Linked DNA regions of Arabidopsis thaliana. The protein of the gene in region 1 interacts with the protein of each later gene in a pairwise test. Each region holds a gene or a part of one and is shown in the gene's direction. Other genes may lie near its edges.

The links.
Region 2: the proteins of UMAMIT32 (region 1) and MEKK3 interact in a protein complementation assay, tested with the Arabidopsis thaliana proteins (one large-scale study listed by BioGRID).

Annotation. Positions count from the first base shown.
Region 1 is NC_003074.8:11,954,434-11,958,367, forward strand, and holds the start of UMAMIT32 (nodulin MtN21 /EamA-like transporter family protein), read left to right. Parts: upstream 1-2,099; 5' UTR 2,100-2,192; coding exon 2,193-2,380; intron 2,381-2,661; coding exon 2,662-2,724; intron 2,725-2,819; coding exon 2,820-2,936; intron 2,937-3,021; coding exon 3,022-3,424; coding exon of another isoform or gene 3,425-3,496; exon of another isoform or gene 3,497-3,534; intron 3,535-3,677; coding exon 3,678-3,829; intron 3,830-3,934.
Region 2 is NC_003075.7:5,385,583-5,389,516, reverse strand, and holds the start of MEKK3 (MAPK/ERK kinase kinase 3), read left to right. Parts: upstream 1-2,256; 5' UTR 2,257-2,478; coding exon 2,479-2,945; intron 2,946-3,053; coding exon 3,054-3,308; intron 3,309-3,671; coding exon 3,672-3,917; intron 3,918-3,934. Other genes in the region: MAPKKK9 (mitogen-activated protein kinase kinase kinase 9), read left to right, coding at 5-162, 261-333, 437-496, 830-943, 1,058-1,264.

The DNA of each region.
Region 1 (3,934 bases):
TAAAAATATAATAAAATACAATTTTGACTAGCAAAATAAAAATGGTTTGATAATAACACGTTCGCAAAATTTGATCCATGACCTAAAAAAGAGTTTGTTGTTATAGTTTCCACAAAAAAATTGGGATACTATTCATTTTACATGGCAAGAAACGTAAAGGAACCGAATCATAATAAACAAATGAAAGATACTTAGAGCTAAGCATTAAGCATCCCATTTTGCGACAGGATTTGACGCATTATGCTTACCTCCATTTTAAAATTTGATATCTCTTGTCAAATCTTTATTTATATATATTATACATGATATGTATAAATATTTCACGAAGAAACAAAGTATAGATGCTTCTTATTGTCTGATCAGATCTCTACTTTTTATTGAGAATCTTGTATCAAATATGGTTCTTTTTGAGCCAAACACGCCAACTTTCAATAATCTTCACTTTGCTGACTACTACTTCATGTTGATTAACATACTTATTCCAAATTACGGCTCTAAAGAAAGTGAAACTAATTAAAACGTGCGTGTTGATACTTGATAGTATATATACTTCTTACGCATCGCCTGATTAGATATTTGTTTTTATTAGGATTCCATGAGAGCTATATTGCATGGTTAATTGGATAAATGGTCAGAGAGACGATTAGGATTAAAGTAAATGACAAGGACATTTTTGATTATTTCTCGATTATCATGGTGGGTGTAATTTAACATGCTGTTTAATTGAACGAAGATACTGTACTAATATTTTACACGCCCTAAGTAAGACTCACTTTATCCCATTTTATATAGATTTTTTTAAGAAATAATAAACATTTTATCATGATAAAAATTCAACCAATAGAAAAAATACGGCAGAATTCAAATAGTCATAAAATATCAAATTAATAGTTATGCATAGAAACTATAAAAAAAAAAAACCTTATAACAAACCATCAATATATTGCGACAAAGGCAGTTATAAGTAATCTCAAGGTAATATAACATGCTTATACATCCATATTACAAAACTCATGGATAAATTATAATGGGTTTTCTGCAAAAGAACCTTTCAAGTCAATCTCGTTTGCAAGTTTACCCTCCAAATCCGAGTTATGCAAGTCAACCCCATCATCTCTAAAGTCATCCGCAATACAGCCTTCATGTATATCGATAACGTGGCACTCAATAACTCTGTTTAAAAACATAAGGGTTTTATGGAAAAAAAACTCTCAATATAAATTTGTTTTGCAAAATAAACCTTCATGTCAAATAAATACAGATCAAACTACAATCTAAAAATCTCATGAAATATACCCCTTTTGTGTATCGATGACATGACAGTCGATACCCATTCAGAGCATGTGCAATAGGTATAGATTTTATGAGTCGTTTATTTAAGATTTTCTGCTATCACAATTCCATTAATAATAATTTTATATTTTTATCTATTCACTATTCTCGATCCTGGTTTATCTAAACATAGTAAATAATTTTTCTTATTTTTTATTCATGATAAATCAATTACTTATTTAATTTAACGTTCTATAATTTATATTTCTTTTAATAATTTATTCAATTAATACTTAAATAATAAAGGGTGTGCTGGTAAATTTCAATATAAAAAGAGTAAGCATAGTTTTTTCAAATTTGCATAAATCATTTGAACTCGTTATTTTCTTAATTATATAAATGGTATGTCTTTCACTTTGTACGGAGTATCCCAATGTGGGGTACATAAATATTAAGAGAAAAAAAGAGATCAAGCTTACTAGTTTAAGCGTTAATAATTATACTGACTGACCAATCTACTTGTTCATGTAGCTCTAATGTTATTAATTAATATATAGTCTTAGATTGATCTAATTAATGTCTGTGTATGATGTCACTTTGTGATGATGGAAGTCATGAGAGCTTCCATTACTTAACTCTCTCTCTCTCTCTCTATCTATTTTTACGGTCATGTATAGTGTAATCAACAATAACAAGAAAAAGCCAAGTTCAAAGCACTATACTATTAGTTAAAGACAAATGCGATAATGATACGATTCTGAGCATTACTTGAGTCACAATATATAGTCACACCCTCATCAAATTCTTTCTATCTTACCAACTTCTGAAAAAAAAGAAAAAAACCAAAAGACAAGTAAATACATATATAAATATACACTCACACACACACACATATATTGATATACTTATAATCATAAATCATGGTAAAGTTTGATACAAAACTATGGAAGGCTGTGCTTATGATGTCCATGATCAACATTGGTTTAAGTGTTGTAAACGTTATGTTCAAGAAGATGATTGATGAAGGACTTAACCGTATGGTCGCGACCACTTACCGACTTGCTGTAGGAACTCTGTTCTTGATACCATTCGCGATTTTCTTGGAAAGGTTTGTGTTTGTTTTTGCTAAACTGCAAATATCATATAGATGAAAAGGTTTGTGTTTGTATATGTATATCTAGTTACTTGTCTTCTTCGTTTTGAAAGTTTAAGTTATACTTGAATTTTTGGTTTAAATTATAAGTGGATGTCTTGTTTATACAAGTTTCTAGTTGAATGTTGTTTTCAAACTCTTTTCTCCTGTGAATATGTTATTATATATTCGTATTCCATATGAAAGATTTTGTAAGGAAAATAATTTGTTCTTTTTTTGTTTCTCTCTTTTTGTAGACATAACAGGCCAAAACTCACGGGTAGGATCTTGTGTTCACTCTTCTTTAGCGCTCTTCTGGGGTATGTTCATTTTATTAGACTGTTCACTTATAATAAATGTTTACAAATAAGTTTTGAGTTGTTTATTTTGATCTTGATCGTTCATATATTTGCAGGACAAGTTTGGTGCAATACTTCTTTCTTATTGGACTAGAGTATACATCTTCAACTTTTTCCTTAGCGTTTAGCAACATGGTTCCTTCGGTTACATTTGCCTTGGCTCTCGTCTTTAGGTATTGAAAAATCGATCAAACACATTTGGATTCTTCATATATATGCTCTAGTATTATCAAAATTATTTATAAACTATACGATTAGGCAAGAGACGCTGAACATCAAGAGCAACGTAGGAAGAGCCAAACTGCTAGGCACAATGATATGTATTTGTGGAGCTTTAGTGCTTACGCTTTATAAAGGAACCGCTTTAAGTCGAGAACACAGTACTCATATGGAAACACATACAAGAACTGATTCCACCGGTGCAATGACACAAAAGTGGGCAATGGGTTCGATCATGCTGGTTATATCGATCATAATATGGTCATCTTGGTTCATTGTTCAAGCTAAAATAAGCCGAGTTTATCCGTGCCAATACACGAGTACCACGATCCTCTCTTTCTTTGGCGTGATTCAATCTGCTTTGTTGAGTTTGATCTCGGAGAGGAGCACATCTATGTGGGTCGTTAAAGACAAGTTCCAAGTTTTAGCTTTACTTTATTCGGTGAGTAATCCAATATACTATTTAATCAACCTACAAGATCTATATGTCAACATATATAAAATTTTATTTTAGTTGTAATTTGTAAACAAAGAAAAAAAGAAACAAAAAACTATTTATGTTTGCATTTGACATGGATATTTTCTTTCTTGTCCCCCAATGACTTGAGTTCAACTTTTTTCATGTCCCATATCTATCTTTTTTGCTATCTTTTCTTCTTCGATAAATTTAGTTTCCGAATCCACCACTGGTGTAGGGTATCGTTGGATCGGGATTGTGCTACGTGGGAATGTCGTGGTGTCTCCGCCAAAGAGGTGCGGTGTTCACGTCGAGCTTCATACCTTTGATTCAAGTCTTTGCTGCCATTTTCAGCTTCTCTTTCCTTCATGAGCAAATATACTGTGGAAGGTAACCTAATGTTTCTTTCTACTTATTTATATCATTTACTATGTTTAAAATATCTAACAACTTCAACTAAAACAAATAAATAAACAATTGATGAACAACGTATTA
Region 2 (3,934 bases), on another chromosome or scaffold:
GCAGGACGGGTCAAATTTGTATATTTTTCTTGAGCTTGTAACACAAGGATCCCTTCTAGAACTCTACCGAAGATACCAGATTCGGGACTCGCTAATCTCCTTGTACACAAAACAAATCCTTGACGGTTTGAAATATCTTCACCATAAAGGTTTCATTCACAGGTTAGACTAGTAAACTCTCTTGTCACAGCTGTAATTCCCAAGCCTCTGATTTCCTGCACATCCTAGGTTACTTACTTTTCTCATCTGATGCGACAAAGGGACATTAAATGTGCAACTATATTGGTGGACGCCAATGGCACCGTCAAACTTGCAGATTTTGGATTGGCAAAGGTTCTTTTCCAATAATAGATGTTTATAGCTTTTACTCTAACTTAATTACTTGGTCCATCGTTTATCCCCCTTACTCAATATATATGTCATTTTTTTCATTTAGGTGTCAAAGTTAAACGACATTAAGTCCCGCAAGGAAACTCTATTTTGGATGGCTCCAGAGGTATACTTCGGGATCCTTCCTCCTGTTTTGATTGTTGTGAATACAATGACAAACATATCATATATCAATAGCAATGATGGATGTTATACTGTTGCTTATATATGTTGTTGCAACCGTTGTGATATGGGCTTGATAGCCTCAAAAACCCCCGATTATGTTTCCTTCATAGTTTGATTAAATTTCCTTTATTTCTGTTTATAACTGTAAGTATGTTTGTGTAATTATACGTAACAGATATATTTGAATTCCTTCCACTTTCATTGTAGTTTAGGCTATACTTGATCAGGTTATATGTTACAGTTTTTCCTAAATGGAACATAATAATTTGATCAGGTTATTAACCGGAAGGATAATGATGGTTACAGAAGTCCAGCTGATATATGGAGCCTCGGGTGCACTGTGCTGGAAATGTGTACTGGTCAGATCCCATACTCTGATCTAGAACCCGTAAGTCTTCAGGATTTTCAAACTTTTGAACTGTCTTATAATCTTAAACGACATTGAAGGGTCTACTTAATGGGATTTTATGAGTTAAAGGTCAGAATTTGTGCAAACGCGCAGGTTGAAGCCCTGTTTAGGATCAGAAGGGGTACGCTTCCGGAAGTACCTGATACTTTATCACTAGACGCTCGGCATTTCATACTTAAGTGTCTCAAATTGAACCCGGAAGAGCGTCCAACTGCAACTGAGCTACTGAACCATCCATTTGTGAGAAGGCCCTTACCATCCTCAGGCTCAGGATCAACATCTCCGCTAATCCGTAGATGAATCTAATTTTATTAGATTGCCTCCATAGGTGAAGCCTCTAGTTTCGTTTTATTGAGAATATATTAGGATCAAACGCTATATTCTAACATTGATATCTTAATGTATGAGAGCAGGGGTAACCAGAAGGTTTATGAGATATTAGACCCCATAGAAACTTTAGGGGAGACACGAGATATGATTCTTTGATACATATGCTGTTTTGGTTGCGCAGCAAGAGCTAAACTTTCTCGAGACATATCTTCAGGTAGTTTCTGTCTCATTCATTGGTTGGTTGTTGTAAGTTGTGTCACTTGTGTGTGTTGAGCTTATATTTAAAACTGAAGAGCCTTGGTTAAATTAGAGTTTTGGGTGCATAGGTTTGTTTAGTTTTGTTAAATTATAGTATCATGTAATGTATAAGAAGAACCTTAGTTGATTTAGAGTTTCGGGTGTATAGGCTTGTTTGGTTTTGATAAATTATATAGTGTATGCATGTAACCCATATCATGTAATGTGTAATTATAGTTGGCTCTTATATAGTTCCTGCTTGTTGCAACTGTTTACACATCTCATGTCTCGATGGATTTAATCTCCAATTTTTCTTATATATATATCTGAATTATACATGCATACATACACTATAATTTAACAAAACTAAACTTTTCTTTTGGGTGCAAAAACATAACCTATATTCATCTCTTAATTATTTTACGCTGAAGAAATCTGCTGTTTCAATTAAAAAAGTATGGTCAAACCAACATTTTCTTTGAAATTTTGGTGAAAGCCACTCTCATTGAAGTGTATATATGATTCAACTTGTTTCTTACAATATTTGCCCCGTTGAAAACTTTTTTGCCATCGATGAGTTTCTTTAAGGGCAAAGTTCCTTTAAGAAATGCTTTTAGATTTCTTTGTATACCTATGAATTTTTAATCAAGTGATGAAGACACGGAGAAAAATCCTAAATTGATGCTAAATATTTTATCTGTGGACTTAACCAAGTCTCCCACAAAAATAATACAAGAATCTGCAACAATTTTTAAAATTCAGTATTCAATTATTATTCAGATACTATTACTAGATTGAAAATTCAACTCTTGTCATAAGTCGTCGTCAACTTCTTTTGTTTGCTTCTTCCTTTTTCTCTAACAGGTGCAGTGTTACTGCCAGTTGTTTGGATATTTCCACTTGTGTATTTATTCTCTCTATCTCTTTGACGTCGTCTACAGACTACAATGGACGTAACTGCTATCTTCGCCGGTGATATTTTGGTGCAATCCAGAGAGTATCTTATCCCTAATGATGTTGTGGATGTTGATGGTGGTATTAAAGCGGTAAGACCACCAATAATTCAGCCCCCTCCGGGAAGAAAACTACCTCTTATTGACTTTCCAGGATCATCGTGGGATTTCCTTACGTATTTTGCTCCAAGTAAAACAGTTAAGCGGCAGAGTTCCTCCTCTTCTGATAATACCTCTGATAAAGAGGAAGTTGAAACGGAAGAGACGCGAGGTATGTTTGTCCAGTTGGGGGATACGGCTCATGAGGCATGCCCATTCGCTACAAACGAGGCTGACTCCTCCAGTACAGTATCCATTATTTCGCCGAGTTATGCCTCTAGAGGTTCTATCGTCCCTTCTTGGCTGAAGAGGAAATTTCTGGGACGAGTATCATTAGGTTTTGTGTATGAAGGCAGTTCAGGGTAAGTGCTAATATCTGTAGCATTATCTCATTGCTATATCTTTTATTTTCTATGGGAGATTGCACTACTTAGTCAGCTTCAGCATCATAATATCATGTCTTCTTCTAGTTCCTCCGTTGGTTCCGAGTCGACTTGTTCCTTGATGACGCCTTCTCTGGAGTTCCCGGATCGCATCAGTTTCCGGAAAAAGGATTTCAGTGAAAAAGGTCCTAGTCGACACGTTTGGGAAAAGCGTAAATTGACGCGTGCCAAGTTGATTGAAAATTTTTGCAATCCGGAGGACATTGAACCAGTCACATCTTGGCTGAAGGGTCAACTTCTAGGAGAAGAATCATTTGCCTCTGTGTATGAAGCCATTTCAGAGTAAGTCTTACTGGTTGCTTATGTTTGTTGAACTTAAAATTAGATACTTAGTTTATAGGAAAATAAACTTTAAATTGGGAAATGTGATGCAGTGCGAGAGTTTTTCTTTGTGTGTTTTGTTGATGCTTTTTGATGGATGTTTATGTTATCCTTTAGATCAAATTATACACTCTTTAGTTGGGAAGAAAAGAACAACATGCCTATTTACAATAAGATGTTTAATGAGTTGAAAAATACGGTGCAAAGCGACTTTTATGGTTGCATTACCATTGTGGCATTATCTCATTGTCTTCTCTTTCATTTTTTATGGGAGATTGCATTACTTAGTCAGCTTCAGCGTCATTATATCATGTCTTTTTCTAGTTCCTCTGTTGGTTCCGAGTCGACTTGTTCCTTGATGACGCCTTCTATGGAGTTCCCGGATCGCATCAGTTTCCGAAAAAGGGATTTCAGCGAAGAAGGTCCTAGTGGACGTGTTAAGGAAAAGCGTAAATTGATGCGTAACAAGTTGATTGAGAATTTTCGTAAGCCTGAGGATATCACGTCTTGGCTGAAGGGTCAACTTCTAGGACGAGGATCATATGCCTCTGTGTATGAAGCCATTTCAGAGTAAGTCTTACTGGTTG